3 linked regions of the Arabidopsis thaliana genome follow. The protein of the gene in region 1 interacts with the protein of each later gene in a pairwise test. Each region holds a gene or a part of one and is shown in the gene's direction. Other genes may lie near its edges.

Region 1 (5,337 bases):
GGAAAAATGTTTTTGAGAAAAAAACTTTGATGGAAATTTTTTTTTCGAAATTTTTTGGTGGGAAATTTATTTTGGAATATTTTAGGCGAAAAAATATTAATATTTCATTTTGTTAACCTAAAACAATTTCGAAATATGAGTAAAATGGTCATTAAAAATTTAAAGAGGTATAAATGAAAATGGCAAATAAGAAAAGGTAGAATTGAAAAGGGGTAGTGTGGAAAGGACATTCTGAGCAATTATTCAATATTGTATGACTACTAAATTCTCATATGCAAATGTGAAATCAAATTTGTATTCAATCACTTGTTTATATAATGTCTGGTTCTTTAGATATTAGCTCACTTCAGGTAAGAAAACAAAATGTGGTAGCCTCATTACTTCATTAGTGCAAAGAAAGTGATTCTTTGGGATAAATTTGGATAATTTTGAATCAAAGCTGTAGTAGGACAATACACTTTTATAGTATTTTTTATTAAAGGGAAAACTCAACATCTAAAGGCAAGGAATATCCAACAGTTTGAACGCTAAACAATCAAGGGACAAGCAGAGCGTTTTCTAAATAAAGTTGCCGTTCTTTGAGAGCCGAGCTCGAACCGTAATCTGGCTTCATCACACACATAGTTCATCTTCCCGGTCGTCCCATCTCTGCAATCAGGAAAATGCAACCTCGATCCAAACCTCATATCACCTCTTTCCTTAATATTCTCCATAATATCTTTCACAATCACACCATCCATATCTCCTTCAGAGGCAATCGATGTAACCTTAAGCAGCTTAGGCCACCACGGTTTGATATTGTAACTAAATACTCACAAGAGTTAATCTATGTTAGTTTTCGAAACAAAAGAAATATGTGAACAAAACTAACAACCAAGGAGTGAAATCTTTTGAGTCCACATGCAATATGTGATACAACGAGGATTCATCCCTCTCAGTATAGACTAGTTATTCTGAAACATAGCTTCCTCACTACCGCAAGAATCCCATGATACAACAACTACGCTCTTACAACAATGGTTAATTTGATCACGATTCAATAATCATCTACCATGATTCACTCTCTTTTTGGTTAAAGTTCAAAGTAATATTTTCGCATTTCTTTGATATAAAACGATGTCGATTATTTGGTTCATGACTTTTTATTTCTCTTAGTTTCACAACAACTTCGCTCTCACAACAATGGTTAATTTGAGCACTAACCAATGACCAATTGACCATGCATGATTCACTCTCCTTTTGGTTAAGTTCAGACAGTGTAAAAGCTTTTCTTGTTACAAAATGCTGTCGATTTTTTGGTTCATCAATTTTATTAATTTCTTTTGCACTTTCACCAACACCTAATATTAAAAAGAAAATAAAAACAAGATCCACCAATTCAATGCGATAGGGTAAGTGACTAAATGTTCATTGCCGTTGTCACCCTTTGAACCCAATTTAGGACTCAAAGAGCCGTCTGATTATATTTAACCTTGGTCGAAGTATTTCTAACGAGCTGGTAAGTCCTCATTGGTCCATTATATTCACTGTCCACAATAATTTTAATTACTTGTACGACTCGGTTAACTCCTTCTAGGAAAAACTAAAGTGTACCTACCTAGTACATACGTACTTCTTCATATTACCACAAGTTTTTTTTTTTTTTTCTTGCATTCAACTACGTGTTTAAAGTTTCGGCCCCAAACTTCGGCCCAAAAACAAAAACCAAATAAACTATTACAAAAATCTTTGTTATCATATCACACTATCATTTCAAGTTTTCAACCAATCCATACTCTTAACAATCCCATTAAATTGAGATTTATTCATATTAAGAAATTATGCTGATAATATTTAACTACCAAATTAGGCCGATTCATACCAAAACTATAGAATATGTACTAAATAATTCCATTACCTTCGTTTAGTCATTTTTGGCGGTTTATTTCTTTTGGATAGATCTCATGTCAGACCTTTTTAGACTATTCATTATGGCACCTACCACACTAGTGTGTCTCCATCTTCTGTATTTATATACATATATCATAAGTCAGAACAAAGAGAAAGCAAAGAAGAGAAACTAAAACAGAGCTTTTTTCACATGGGAAAGGATAAGACTTTGCCGTTGCTTGACCCTCGTGAGCCACCGGAACTCACCGGAACCAAGTCGGCGTCAAAAGTATGGGCCAAAGAGTTCGGCGAAGAGTCGAAGCGGCTTTGGGAGTTAGCAGGACCAGCGATTTTCACTGCCATAAGTCAATACTCTCTTGGTGCTCTCACTCAGACTTTCTCCGGCCGTCTCGGTGAACTTGAGCTCGCCGCCGTCTCAGTTGAAAACTCTGTTATCTCCGGTCTTGCCTTCGGTGTCATGGTATGTTACGTAAACACCCTTCACACGTGTCAGGTTCTTGGTAATGGATAATGTGTTCTAATAATAGCCACAGAAATAAAAGTCAATATTTGAGGACTTTTTTTGTATTAATTAATATCAATATTCGTTAATATCAATGAAGTAGATTTTCCCATACATTTAAAATTGTTTCGTAATTGTGATTAAGTAAATCCTAACAGTGTGTTTTATATTCAAATAAAGTAGATATATTAATGTAGTTGAGTTCAGTGTTATAATATTTGTTATACAAGTAATCTCTACGAGGGTCCTTGTGTAAGCTCTCTTGAATTTTGTTGCTTGTCATTTAAGTTTCCTATGAAAAAAGCTTAGAGATCAAACAATATAAACATTTTGATGATGGAAAATGGTGGCAGTTAGGGATGGGGAGTGCATTGGAGACGTTGTGTGGACAAGCATATGGCGCGGGACAGATTAGGATGATGGGAATATATATGCAACGTTCATGGGTCATTCTCTTTACTACTGCTTTGTTTTTGCTTCCCGTCTACATTTGGGCTCCTCCTATTCTTTCCTTCTTCGGCGAGGCTCCTCACATCTCTAAAGCCGCGGGTATCATTCTTGTTATTCCTTTTTGCCAATTGGTTTTGAGTTTGGAGTCAATGTTCACGTAACAACTTCTGCGTTGTTATAATTTTCAGGGAAGTTCGCATTGTGGATGATCCCGCAACTATTTGCCTATGCAGCCAACTTCCCGATACAGAAATTCTTGCAGTCACAGAGGAAAGTTCTTGTGATGGCTTGGATCTCTGGAGTGGTTTTAGTTATACATGCAGTTTTTAGCTGGCTCTTCATTCTTTACTTTAAGTGGGGACTTGTAGGTGCAGCTATCACTCTCAATACCTCGTGGTGGTTGATTGTTATTGGTCAGCTTTTGTATATCTTAATCACCAAATCAGACGGTGCGTGGACTGGATTTTCTATGCTAGCGTTTCGGGACCTCTATGGATTTGTCAAACTTTCCTTAGCCTCTGCTCTTATGCTTTGGTACCTATCCAATTTTTTTTGGCTAGAAGATAGCTTTAGACTTACGTTAGCTGAGACTTCGCTTGTAATGAAAGGTTAGTTGTTTTTGTTTTGCAGTTTGGAGTTTTGGTACTTGATGGTTCTGGTTGTTGTTACCGGTCTCCTTCCTAACCCGTTGATACCAGTCGATGCCATCTCCATTTGGTAATCAATTTGTGCTGATCTTTGGTTAGTTTCTCACTGAAAATAGGTTTGTTTAGTAACATATTTTATGTTTTGGGGTTCACAGCATGAATATAGAAGGGTGGACTGCCATGATTTCGATCGGGTTTAACGCTGCGATTAGGTAAGTTCTCTACCTTTATGTTTCAGGAGCCACATTTGGAAAGCTAATAAAAATCTCATGAACTGGTGAACTTTGTCTCTTGGTGTGATCAGTGTGAGAGTATCGAATGAGCTGGGTGCAGGAAACGCAGCGTTAGCCAAATTCTCAGTGATAGTCGTCTCCATAACTTCAACTCTTATCGGGATAGTGTGCATGATTGTTGTCTTAGCCACAAAAGACAGCTTCCCTTATCTTTTCACTTCAAGCGAAGCTGTGGCAGCAGAAACCACGAGAATAGCCGTCTTGTTGGGCTTCACTGTCCTCTTGAACAGCCTCCAGCCCGTCTTGTCAGGGGTTGCGGTTGGAGCGGGGTGGCAGGCTCTGGTTGCATACGTGAACATTGCGTGTTATTACATTATCGGACTACCTGCTGGTCTTGTTCTTGGATTCACACTAGACCTCGGCGTTCAGGTTAGCTATTTACTAATATGACCATTTTGTATTAGCCTTGTTCTTTTTAATCTGGTGTTAAATCATTTGTATATTTTTGTAGGGAATATGGGGAGGTATGGTAGCTGGAATATGCTTGCAGACACTTATATTGATTGGAATCATCTACTTCACTAACTGGAACAAAGAGGTCTCTTACTTTGTCTTTTAGTTGCTGCTATGTTCCTCCTTTGTGTTTGGTTTGATCATTTCATTAATTAGCTTTGAATTCTAAATTATGCAGGCTGAGCAAGCGGAGAGTCGAGTTCAGAGATGGGGAGGAACGGCGCAGGAGTGATCAACAACTCCCTTAGGACGTGGACTATATCAGTTATTGATCTTTTTTTGTCAATGTTCAATGTTGAGAAAATTGTTTATCGGAGAACAACATCATCTCTTTTTGTTTTTTGATATGCTTAAAGTTAACGAGTCTCTCAGTGATTGTTAGAGGGGTACGGTTTGTTATGTGTTAGACTTATGTTAGATTCTAGGATGGTTGTTGCTAAGCCAAAGTTCTTGATTAATTTTAAGTATGAGATTTAATCTTCATAAGCTTGTTGATCCTTCGTTTTTATTTTAATGGTCAGACTTGATCCAATGTTTATGTTCATTTGAAGGCGAAGATCTTACCGTTTGTCAAACATAGCTAATTAGTGGTGGTATTAGCAACAGATCTTTAGGACTGTCGTTGATCTGTTGCAACTCAGTCACTAAAAATTAACAAATCTTATATAAACAAGAGGAATATTAAAAAGAAAAAAAGAAGATGAAAATGAATATCAAAATAGTTGTGTGACGATACAATATATTAGAGATGGACTACAACAATTCATGAATCAGGGTCACAGACTAACCGTTAAAGCAGTAAATTTGTCTGCCCATCTCATAAGTGTTTGAATTAAAATTTAGGTCAGTCGAGAGCTGTGTGCTATATACTAGATAGTCTACCCTTAATTACTATGTTTGGTTTTCGCATGGAGATTTACTATAAATACACAAACAAGTAATAGTGCTCAAATTGTGAATCAACCCATGCACTAATCCTTTTCATCAATTCGGTCACGGTTAGGATAATGGATTCCGTAATATGGTAACAAATGCATTTTCTGAAATATCAAACTAACATCATTTAATGATTATATTGTTTGATACATTTTATGATATATCA
Region 2 (3,803 bases), on another chromosome or scaffold:
TGGGAGATCGAATCTTGGGTTAACCCAAAACTGTTGCAATCTCTCTTTCTTTTTTTTCTTTTTTTTTTTTGTTATTTGGCGGCACTTCTAACTGAAATAACTGTCTCTTTTGTACCCACTTGCATGCGAATCCTTTGTTTCCCTTCACATTGCCATCCGATCTACGTACATAGATCTTTTTTAAAAATAGATATCTTGATGTTGTAAATTTATACTAGTAGTGTTTTACATTTTATTTTGTCATTTATATATGTCTATTTCTGTTTCTCATATTCATATTGTATATCGTATATCGAATAGAAAGATGAACTCCATTTTATGGTCGTTCCATCAGTTAATGCTCATATATTTTCTAGTGTATTAGGCTGTTAATGTAAGGTTGTGTGATTCGGGAAAAAAAATTGAAATTTCGGAGATTTTGAAACAAAAATTAAAAAATTGAGTGGCCAGAAATCCTTTCCTCTCCATATTTAGTGTCGTCATATAAAATACCAAAACTTTTGTTCCAATATAGAAAAACTATTGACCGAAAGTCCAATTACGTACTCCAAAGACTTATGGATATAAGAAATTATAGTTTGAGTATTTATCATTTTGGTCGAAACTCGAAAGCTATATATAATCATATGAACATACAGTCACATTTGGTGTAGGCGACTATAAAACTTATCTAAAGTTGATTTATCAAAAAAAAACTTATCTAAAATTTGGAAAAATGAAATCGATCAGATATATATATATATATATATATATATATATAAAATTTGAACAAGCATATGGTTTTGAGATGGTTATATGTATGATCATGTGGGATCCAGCAGTTGTGAACATGTGAATAAATCCTTGGAAGCTATTGATGGGCCAACCCAAGAGAATCACTTCTCAGCCTTTCTCATCATCGTCATAACCTTTTTCTCTCATTATTCCAAATTCCATATTCTCTTTCTTCTTTGTATCACCATATATATACACATATATATATATCTTTAATATATCTACAATGTGTACATAGTACATACCCTTCTTGAGACATTTCCCTCACATGAATCCATCTTTTGGTTCTTTACTTAATTCTTTTTAACGTTCACACACATTCTATAAACTAATAACATATTAGTCCTATGATTAGCCCCACCATTAGATTGGGTCATTGCCTCATTGGCAAAAATATATAAATTTGGTTAGAATGAGAAAGTAATAAATTAAAAGTTAATATGTAAAAATCGGTTGAAACTATTATGAAATTTCGGAGTCTACAAGATCCCCAAGACTTAAGACCGTGAAGAAAAATCACGAAATTACATGTAACTTTAGCTATAAAAAAAGAAGTCTAAATGATTATAATGATTTTTTCTCCATTTATTATATGATGAAAACGCGGATCTACAGAATTTAATGTCATTCCAAGATGAAATCGTACGTATGAAAATACACATAAGGAAAGTGTCATTGATTTGTTGAACGATGTGGGCTAAATGGGCTTTCCCGTGGGCCGAGTAACTTATGATCAATCTACAAGCGGTCACGTGAATAAATGGGCTTGACCGTGGGCCGAGGAACTTATGATTAATCTAAAAGCGGTCACGTGATTCCCAGCGGTGAGCGCACGTTAGAATAGTTCCCAGTTCCATAATGAGGCTAAAGTGAGCCGAACCATGTCTGAGAGTCAGAGAGATGAGATCATAAATTAATGGAGATCTTACAAATATGGAAAATTTTAAATACAAAAAATCGAACCAAAGAAGAAGAAGCCTACGGTTGTTCTGTTCCTTTCAATCTCACCAAATTTTCATCTTCACCTTCAATTTTGATAGATTCTCTTCACCGAACCAAATCCGTAACCCTAGCTTCTTCTTAAATTATAGAGAAAAAGAGTTAATTCGAATCTGGATGAAATTGGTTTTGTCTAGATGGAAATCTAGATGTGTCTGATTCCGAAATCTGAGTCTGAGAGATGCTAGGAGCGATTCATTTGGGAGTATTAGCAGCTTGTTTCGTCCTCTTCGTTCCCATGGCAATGGCTGGTTGGCATCTGAGCAGGAACAAGATGCTCTTCTTTAGTGGCGCTTTGTTTATTTCTCTCGCGGTTTGTGTTCATCTCACGCCTTATTTCCCTTCCGTTTCCGACATCGTTGCCTCTGTTTCCTCTGTTGTTGTCTACGATCATCGTATCTCTTGTATCAACGAGGTTAATCAGATTGTCTGGGATGTTAAACCGGTACCGAATCCGGAGTCTGTTCGTAGGAACAATGGCTCAACAAAGCTTGATTATTTCGTGAAGAACTGGGATTGGATGAAATCGAGGAAAGTTTTGAGTTGTGAGTTTCAGAAATTGGATAAGTTCGATGTTTCGGATTTGTTGAATGGATCGTGGGTTGTTGTTGCTGGTGATTCTCAGGCGAGATTCGTGGCTTTGTCTTTGTTGAATCTTGTTTTGGGTTCGGATTCCAAGGCTATGGATTCGGTTAGAGGGGATTTGTTTAGGAGACATAGTGATTACAGCATTGTGGTTAAGGAGATTGGGATGAAGCTTGATTTTGTTTGGGCTCCTTATGAGAAAGATTTGGATGATCTTGTGGTATCTTATAAGAAGATGAAAAAGTATCCTGATGTTGTGATCATGGGAACTGGGTTATGGCATATGCTTCATGTGAACAATGCTTCAGATTTTGGTTTTAGGTTGAGGCAATTGAGTAGTCATGTGGAGTCTCTAGTGCCCCTTACGCCAAAGGAGCAAGAAGGAGGTGGGTCGGTCTCCGGTAGATCTGTGCATCTGTTCTGGATTGGGATGCCGGTTTTGATCAACGGGATGTTGAATACGGATGAGAAGAAGGAGAAGATGAGTGATACGGTGTGGCATGAGTATGATAGATCACTCGGGGAGAGTAAGATCTTACGTCAAATGGGTGGTCCTCTTATCTTGCTTGATATCCAGTCGTTTACCTGGAACTGTGGACCGCAATGTACACTTGACGGGATGCATTATGACTCTGCGGTCTATGATGCCGCTGTCCATGTCATGCTCAATGCGTTGCTTATTGAATCTCATCAATCTTTATGAGTTCTTGACACGTTTTTTTTTTGTTTTTTTTCCTTTTATTTTGTTTGGGGTTCTCTTGTAGAGTTTTAAGAGAAGTGGGATGTTCATAGGAATTTTACAACACACGGTGATCCTTTTGGCCTGAGTGATCTTCACATTGGAGAAGTAAGTGAACTTACATTCATGGCTATAATAGGTTTAATATCTTTTGACTTTGAGAAGTTATAACCTTTAGCTATTCTGATTCTTGTTATATCACAGTACCCTTTTGGATTCTTTTTACGATAAGACTCAGTACTCATCATTAGCTTTAAGCACTTGAAGGAAGCTTTCGCTCCTTAGTAATGTAAACAAATAGATACAATAGTGATGTTTGTGTGATCACTGTTCTTAGTACATTGGTGAGTTTTTGTACCTATGCGTGGGAGAGAGAGAACTATGAAATGCAAAAGTCTGACCCAAGTTCTTTCCTTTTCAACCCTAAAGATAACCTTAGACCAAGATCGATATACTTGCCATCAAAAAATTCTGACCCGGAAAAAAAGAATCATGGGATTGTATCTCAATGTGTCCGTCTCTGTCTCACGGAGTCTCGAATTGTTTCCCTTCGAAGGTCTGTCCATAATTCCAGTTTTTCGGGGAGACATTGTAAGATGTCACGGTTGACCTGTCACTAGAAGTTACTTCAAATGAGAGAGCTTGGTTCCTGAGATCAGCATTAATATGCCAATTTTGTCCCCAATTACGACCCATAGGTAACCAC
Region 3 (7,820 bases), on another chromosome or scaffold:
GGAATTTCATTCGAATGCAGATTCAGCTTTCAGCTGTCTTCTACACATTCTCAATGGGGACCAGAGCTCACTATTTCGGTCGAACTATTCTCCATGGTGGGGCCAAGTATAGAGCCACTGGACGTGGATTTGTTGTCGAGCACAAGGGATTCACTGAGAACTACCGACTGTATGCACGCAGTCACTTTGTGAAGGCCATCGAGCTTGGGCTGATCCTCATAGTCTACGCTTCGCACAGTCCGATTGCCAAAGACTCGTTGATTTACATAGCCATGACTATCACCAGCTGGTTTCTTGTGATTTCATGGATAATGGCCCCATTTGTGTTTAACCCATCAGGATTCGACTGGCTTAAGACAGTCTATGACTTTGAAGACTTCATGAACTGGATCTGGTACCAAGGCAGAATCTCAACGAAATCTGAACAAAGCTGGGAAAAATGGTGGTACGAGGAACAGGACCACCTGAGAAACACCGGGAAGGCAGGATTATTTGTGGAGATCATCTTGGTCCTCCGGTTTTTCTTCTTCCAGTATGGGATTGTATACCAGCTTAAAATTGCAAACGGATCCACCAGCCTTTTTGTCTACTTGTTCTCATGGATATACATCTTTGCTATATTTGTGCTCTTCCTAGTCATCCAATACGCCCGTGACAAGTACTCGGCAAAAGCTCACATACGGTACAGGCTTGTCCAATTCCTCCTGATCGTGCTTGCTATACTGGTGATTGTTGCTTTGCTCGAGTTCACGCATTTCAGCTTCATCGATATCTTCACAAGCCTTCTTGCATTCATCCCAACTGGCTGGGGAATTCTGCTGATCGCACAGACTCAAAGGAAGTGGCTGAAGAATTACACTATTTTCTGGAATGCTGTTGTCTCTGTTGCTCGCATGTATGACATATTGTTTGGGATACTCATAATGGTTCCAGTAGCGTTCTTGTCATGGATGCCTGGATTCCAGTCAATGCAAACGAGGATATTATTCAATGAAGCTTTTAGCAGAGGACTTCGCATCATGCAGATTGTCACTGGGAAGAAATCAAAAGGCGATGTCTAAGTTTAAAAAACGGTAAAGCTCCTTGTTCTCAACACCTTATGTTATGATCGTTTAAATCCTGGATTTCACACCAATGCGGGCTTTAAATTTGTGTAGGTCTTAAGAAGTAAATGGTAGTTCAAATCCTATTGGTATGTGGCGAAGGAATCAGTTGGAGGTTAGTTTTCCCGAAACAACCGAATTCGAAGTTTTGTTTCGTCTAAAGAAAAACTCAGATGCTGATGATTTATCTTTGTATTTTAAACAGGTTTTTGGAGAGTTTGGTTGGATGAGGAATCGGGAAGTTGGTTTGATTCGGTTAGATGGGTTTAGGGAGATATTTGATTGTCAGTGTGTGTGGAGGGAACTCTGATTCTTGTATGGTTTTTGTTCTAAAGGTACAGCAATTTGTGTAGTGAGGCTTTGTGTATTTGTTCTCCTTCTCTCATTATAGAGCTTTAGAGCATTTTTAGTTTATATTCAGATTGTTATCTAATGTCATCTCGCAGAGCTTTTGTTCACATTTCACATCTTTTCTTCTCCTTCTTAGTAGAGATCAGTTTCAGATTAGATACTTGTCCATATTCCACTACTCTCGTCTATTATCGGTTTCTGCTTGTCAATTTCTGGGTCCAAAATTGAAATAAATTTATATAATTGGACCACAACACCACTTTGTCGGTTTTGACTTTTCTACTTGGATGCTCCTGAACTTCTTGCTCCCTTTTCTATTACAAATTGGGAAACAATCAGTGTGAATTGGGGAATAAAAAAAAACAGAATTGAGCAATTAAAGCCACGTGGCAAGAAATCGACGAGGGACCAACGTGTTTGTCTGCAAGATCTAATCCTTTTATTAACAAAACGGCGACTGATCTAACGGGAAACTTTTAAAATCGAGAAATTGTTAATAATAAATTCAACTACTTCTGGGCCATCATCATCAATCTTGTTCGTCTTCCTTTTGATCTTATCAAACTACAGTCAAATCACTCAGAGAAAGCTACTAGGTCTCTCCTCGACATTTGCTTTCAATTCGATCCAGTAATTTTCTTCTCATCGGAGAGAGAAAAAAAAAATGGAAGACCCGTTGATTGGTAGAGATAGTCTTGGTGGTGGTGGTACGGATCGGGTTCGTCGATCAGAAGCTATCACGCATGGTACTCCGTTTCAGAAAGCAGCTGCACTCGTTGATCTGGTTCTCTTATTCTCTTACACCCTAATTTTGAATTCGTTTTCCTCTTTGACTTTTCAAAAAGTTTCTATACATGGATCACATCGCCTCCAAGAGAGATTCTATGTATTTTATCAGTTCATTAAGTCAGTGTTTTTGTTAAGCTGAGAAGATGAATCGTTTCTTCTTCTGAGTGATTTCTTCGTATAAGGATTAGTCAATGCTTTTGTGTGTATATCCTCACGAAATTAGCATTGTTTGAAAATTGGGAATGGAGATATCTGTTGTTTCATTGTCTCTAAAGTCTTATGTCAAGAGGATTGTTGGATTGACTCTGATTTGTGGTATGTAGGCTGAAGATGGTATTGGTCTTCCTGTGGAAATACTTGATCAGTCGAGTTTCGGGGAGTCTGCTAGGTATTACTTCATCTTCACACGTTTGGATCTGATCTGGTCACTCAACTATTTCGCTCTGCTTTTCCTTAACTTCTTCGAGGTCAGCACATTTCTTTGGTATACACCAACCTTGCTTGAAAAATTTATAGAAAATCACAACTTGAAAGTAATCACACACTTTTCCTGTCTTTTGCAGCAACCATTGTGGTGTGAAAAAAACCCTAAACCGTCTTGCAAAGATAGAGATTACTATTACCTGGGAGAGTTACCGTACTTGACCAATGCAGAATCCATTATCTATGAGGCAAGTAATTACACTTAAGTCTTGTTTGCCTTTGTTTTTTTGCTATAGATGCATAGATTTAGTGCAGATGGGCTCATGATATACATGTACATCCACTTGAAAGTTTAAGACTTGAATTGCCTTATGTTTGTTTTCTTTAAATCTTGAGAAGCCTTGAGTATTTATTCAAGACTAGTTTATCTCGTTTAATTCGTCGTTAAGAACTTAATATCAACACTCACATCTTATTTTGGATATGTTTATTATAAGGACTGGCCAAGATCCTTTTCTCATTGTGCTGAAATTATAATATTCTTTGCTGTCCAAATAGGTGATTACCCTGGCTATACTCCTTGTACATACTTTCTTCCCGATATCCTATGAAGGTTCCCGAATCTTTTGGACTAGTCGCCTGAATCTAGTGAAGGTATTTCCTTACTAGCCACTTCACAGTTTTGTGTTTCTTCTTTTTGTTGAAAATCGATCAGAAAGTAAGAAATTCCTTTTCTTCGTGCAACAATTTGTCTTCATATTGATTCCAGGTTGCTTGCGTGGTAATTTTGTTTGTTGATGTGCTGGTTGACTTTCTGTATCTGTCTCCACTGGCTTTCGACTTTCTCCCTTTTAGAATCGCCCCATACGTGAGAGTTATCATATTCATCCTCAGCATAAGGTATCCGTAGATCTCTGCTTCTTTTCTATCAACTATATGGGTTATATGTCTTTATTTCTATAGACAAAGATGCGCAGATCATGTCATGTATGATAAATGTCGACGTGTGATTATTTGACCTACTATTCCTCCTATTAAATCTCTAAATACAGCACATTCCCCAAAGTTATGATTCTTTACATTTCTGTACAGGGAACTTCGGGACACCCTTGTCCTTCTGTCTGGAATGCTTGGCACATACTTGAATATCTTGGTCAGTGGCCTTCCCCAATCATTTTTGACTTTCAGATAAGTAATTAACTCATATTGATTGTCATCCTATTTACTTAACTCCTTGAATATTTTCACAGGCTCTATGGATGCTGTTCCTTCTATTTGCCAGTTGGATTGCTTTTGTTATGTTTGAGGACACGCAGCAGGGCCTCACGGTCTTCACTTCATATGGTGCAACTCTTTACCAGATGTTTATTTTGTTCACAACATCCAACAATCCTGATGTCTGGATTCCTGCATACAAGTAAGTATTAGGTGAAATCCCATTTGTGTCTCAGTTTGCTTGTATGGCGTTGCATCCAGTAATTTAGTGACTTATTTGTTCTGTCCTCTAAGGTCTTCTCGCTGGTCTTCGGTGTTCTTCGTGCTCTACGTGCTAATTGGCGTCTACTTTGTCACAAACTTGATTCTTGCCGTTGTTTATGACAGTTTCAAAGAACAGGTGGATTAAGGATTTGATGTTTGTATGGTTCTTATGTCAGCTTTTAAAACAAAAGTATTAACCTCTTTTGACACCTTGTGTCATATCATATCTATTCTGTTTGCAGCTCGCAAAGCAAGTATCTGGAATGGATCAAATGAAGAGAAGAATGTTGGAGAAAGCCTTTGGTCTTATAGACTCAGACGTAAGTTCATCTACGCATAGTGATTATATCTACTCCTAGAGATATCCGGAGAAGTTCTCCTTGGGCAAAGATCTTCATGAATGGAGAGTCTTTGTATAGTTAACCACTTTGCTGAGCATATATTTCTTCGTTCTTTATTTCATGTTTTAACAGAAAAACGGGGAGATTGATAAGAACCAATGCATTAAGCTCTTTGAACAGTTGACTAATTACAGGTTTGTTGCTATGATCTTTGGTATTTTCAATCTTTCCTATGTTTCGAAAAAGAAATACATCTTTTATATACTTGTTTGTGGTTTCTTCCCTTTTGTATGTTAACTTGTGAGACCTGATAATGATATGCATTCATTTTTCCTTATAGGACGTTGCCGAAGATATCAAAAGAAGAATTCGGATTGATATTTGATGAGCTTGACGATACTCGTGACTTTAAGGTAGAGATCTGTGAAGGATGTGGCACATATGATCAGGATACACCTTAAGATTACTATTCACCTAAACCTCTTGACGACTAACAGATTCTTTGTCCCCTTTTTGTTTCCTGTTGAGCAGATAAACAAGGATGAGTTTGCTGACCTCTGCCAGGCCATTGCTTTAAGATTCCAAAAGGAGGAAGTAGTAAGTTCACATATACTTTATTTTCCTTCTCTCAAAATTTACTTACCTCCACCATATGTTTACATTAGCGATCCTTTTTGTTTTCATTGCAGCCGTCTCTCTTTGAACATTTTCCGCAAATTTACCATTCCGCCTTATCACAACAACTGAGAGCCTTTGTTCGAAGCCCCAACTTTGGCTACGCTATTTCTTTCATCCTCATTATCAATTTCATTGCTGTCGTTGTTGAAACAACGGTATATCATGTTCCCATATTTCTTTGACATGCGATTCCTAATTCTTTCATAAGCCATAACAGATTTTGGTATGCAGCTTGATATCGAAGAAAGCTCGGCTCAGAAGCCATGGCAGGTTGCCGAGTTTGTCTTTGGTAAGAACTTGAATAGGTTTCCACTATCTTCTCTCCATTTTGTATTTTTCTTCTATTTGATGCTTTGTGAAGTGTATAATCTATGGTTACTGAGAAATATGATGAAAAGATGAAGAATGAAATAGAAGTTAAGCTATTTCCTGTGTTATTACACTGAGTAGAGTACTTCTATGGATCATATTAGATTGTAACAGCCGAATTTTATTGACCACCTTTTCAGAGTCTTAACTTTTTCTTCTTTTAATTTCTATCTTTGAATGTTTTTACAGGTTGGATATATGTGTTGGAGATGGCTCTGAAGATCTATACATATGGATTTGAGAATTATTGGAGAGAGGGTGCTAACCGATTTGATTTTCTAGTCACATGGGTCATAGGTAACCTATTGAAGCAGCATTTTCATCTTGTTTTGCTGATTGAGTGATTGATGGCTATGCTATAAGTGATAATCTTTGTATCTGCAGTTATTGGGGAAACAGCTACCTTCATAACTCCAGACGAGAATACTTTCTTCTCAAATGGAGAATGGTGAGGAATAACGATGACATATTTGTTACAATGGTCTTCTTTTGTACTAACCCAGACTCTGGTTCTCATTGATAGGATCCGGTACCTTCTCCTGGCGAGAATGTTAAGACTGATAAGGCTTCTTATGAACGTCCAGCGATACCGAGCATTTATTGCGACGTTCATAACTCTTATTCCAAGTTTGATGCCATATTTAGGGACCATTTTCTGCGTGCTGTGTATCTACTGCTCTATTGGCGTACAGGTAAATCAGACTACTGAGTTTTTTGTCTGAAAAATGCAAGCTTATGATGAAGCCTTGGTCAATGGTCATTCTCGTCATTTTTGATTATTCTAAGCCTCTTGAAATTCTTCATCTTTCCGTTCATCTGAATGTTTTAGGAACCGCTGAACTGCTACTCTCATGTGTTTTCCCTGTCTTCTCTCACGGGTTCTATTTCCCAAATCAGATATAAAAATTTCTTCATCTCATTTCTCCGTAGGTCTTTGGAGGGCTTGTGAATGCTGGGAACAAAAAGCTCTTTGAAACCGAATTGGCTGAGGATGAGTATCCTTTTTAACTTTCTGAAAAACTTTTAATGCACTCAACACAGTCTTAGTACACCTTCTCTGTTCCTGTGATTGCTAGTGTGTTTTTAATTTTTTATTACTGGGGTAAAAACGTTTTCAGTATAAGATCGTTTCTTGACGGGAAAAACTCAGCTACCTTTTGTTCAACTTCAATGACTACCCCAATGGAATGGTCACACTCTTCAATCTGCTAGTTATGGGTAACTGGCAAGTATGGATGGAGGTAATTTCACTCTTCTGTTAGTCCCAACTTTAGACTCATTATAGTTTCCAACAAGAAGTATCGCAAGATTCATTGGAGCTGAGGAGGCCAATGCTAGATGTACTATAAACAGCTTGCTTCTTATTTGCCAATCACTATGGTGCAATGGTTTTAACTACTCTTAATTTCTTTCAGAGCTACAAAGATTTGACGGGCACGTGGTGGAGCATTACATATTTCGTCAGTTTCTATGTCATCACTATTTTACTTCTGTTGAATTTGGTGAGTTTCACTGACGCCAACTCCTAAGAGCTCGATCAAACAGAGGCCATGATTGTTGTAAAGAAACTTAACTCTGCTTCTTAGATCGACTTATAATGCGTGTTTGTTTCAGGTTGTTGCCTTTGTCTTGGAGGCGTTCTTTACTGAGCTGGATCTTGAAGAAGAAGAAAAATGTCAAGGACAGGTTTGTTATTGTCTTTGATTCGCCATAAAGTTACAGATGTTGGGGAGATTAGAAAAGTAAAGAACCTTTTGGTTCGTGTTCAATCGGCAATGTTTTCATCTCGTTATTGTATCGTTGCAGGATTCTCAAGAAAAAAGAAACAGGCGTCGATCTGCAGGGTAAGTAGATAGGTCAAATTGTTGGTTGGTAATATCATACTAGACTCAAAATCTGAAGGTTTATTTTGTTTTTATGGTTATTAAAGGTCGAAGTCTCGGAGTCAGAGAGTTGATACACTTCTTCATCACATGTTGGGTGATGAACTCAGCAAACCAGAGTGTTCCACTTCTGACACATAAAACAAAACAAGATCGTTAAGAGCTTATTTATACGTTTATACTGTGAATCTTTGATTCTATATGGAGAGATCAATAGAATCTAGAAGGTGACTAAATTTTTTCTTCTTTTGGGTGAAGATTTAATATAAGACGATTGTGTTATAATTTGTCATGAAAACATATGACTATATGACTATATGAGCATCAATTTCTTTAACACTTTTGTAATGTTTACTGAGTTTTACTTTGACCTTTTAAAATGTAACTTTTATTAGTAAAAAATC

The links. Proteins that work in one complex are often made in the same cells at the same time.
Region 2: the proteins of AT1G47530 (region 1) and AT3G03210 interact in a protein complementation assay, tested with the Arabidopsis thaliana proteins (one large-scale study listed by BioGRID).
Region 3: the proteins of AT1G47530 (region 1) and TPC1 interact in a protein complementation assay, tested with the Arabidopsis thaliana proteins (one large-scale study listed by BioGRID).

Annotation. Positions count from the first base shown.
Region 1 is NC_003070.9:17,449,644-17,454,980, forward strand, and holds AT1G47530 (MATE efflux family protein), read left to right. Parts: upstream 1-1,909; 5' UTR 1,910-2,080; coding exon 2,081-2,350; exon of another isoform or gene 2,351-2,644; intron 2,645-2,745; coding exon 2,746-2,941; intron 2,942-3,030; coding exon 3,031-3,376; intron 3,377-3,472; coding exon 3,473-3,559; intron 3,560-3,644; coding exon 3,645-3,701; intron 3,702-3,793; coding exon 3,794-4,151; intron 4,152-4,233; coding exon 4,234-4,320; intron 4,321-4,413; coding exon 4,414-4,467; 3' UTR 4,468-4,818; downstream 4,819-5,337.
Region 2 is NC_003074.8:739,033-742,835, forward strand, and holds AT3G03210 (Pmr5/Cas1p GDSL/SGNH-like acyl-esterase family protein), read left to right. Parts: upstream 1-1,671; 5' UTR 1,672-1,954; coding exon 1,955-3,061; 3' UTR 3,062-3,277; downstream 3,278-3,803. Other genes in the region: EXPA13 (expansin A13), read right to left, coding at 3,623-3,803. UniProt on the Arabidopsis thaliana protein: Component of the plant cell wall polysaccharide acetylation pathway. Does not directly catalyze O-acetylation of xyloglucan but exhibits weak acetylesterase activity in vitro.
Region 3 is NC_003075.7:1,578,135-1,585,954, forward strand, and holds the start of TPC1 (two-pore channel 1), read left to right. Parts: upstream 1-1,794; 5' UTR 1,795-2,118; coding exon 2,119-2,238; intron 2,239-2,566; coding exon 2,567-2,710; intron 2,711-2,806; coding exon 2,807-2,914; intron 2,915-3,224; coding exon 3,225-3,320; intron 3,321-3,435; coding exon 3,436-3,566; intron 3,567-3,758; coding exon 3,759-3,819; intron 3,820-3,916; coding exon 3,917-4,083; intron 4,084-4,175; coding exon 4,176-4,281; intron 4,282-4,387; coding exon 4,388-4,465; intron 4,466-4,618; coding exon 4,619-4,680; intron 4,681-4,826; coding exon 4,827-4,899; intron 4,900-5,017; coding exon 5,018-5,083; intron 5,084-5,175; coding exon 5,176-5,319; intron 5,320-5,395; coding exon 5,396-5,453; intron 5,454-5,722; coding exon 5,723-5,830; intron 5,831-5,917; coding exon 5,918-5,981; intron 5,982-6,056; coding exon 6,057-6,225; intron 6,226-6,463; coding exon 6,464-6,528; intron 6,529-6,683; coding exon 6,684-6,774; intron 6,775-6,948; and 8 more. Other genes in the region: GSL05 (glucan synthase-like 5), read left to right, coding at 1-1,061. UniProt on the Arabidopsis thaliana protein: Functions as a voltage-gated inward-rectifying Ca(2+) channel (VDCC) across the vacuole membrane. Is one of the essential components of the slow vacuolar (SV) channel.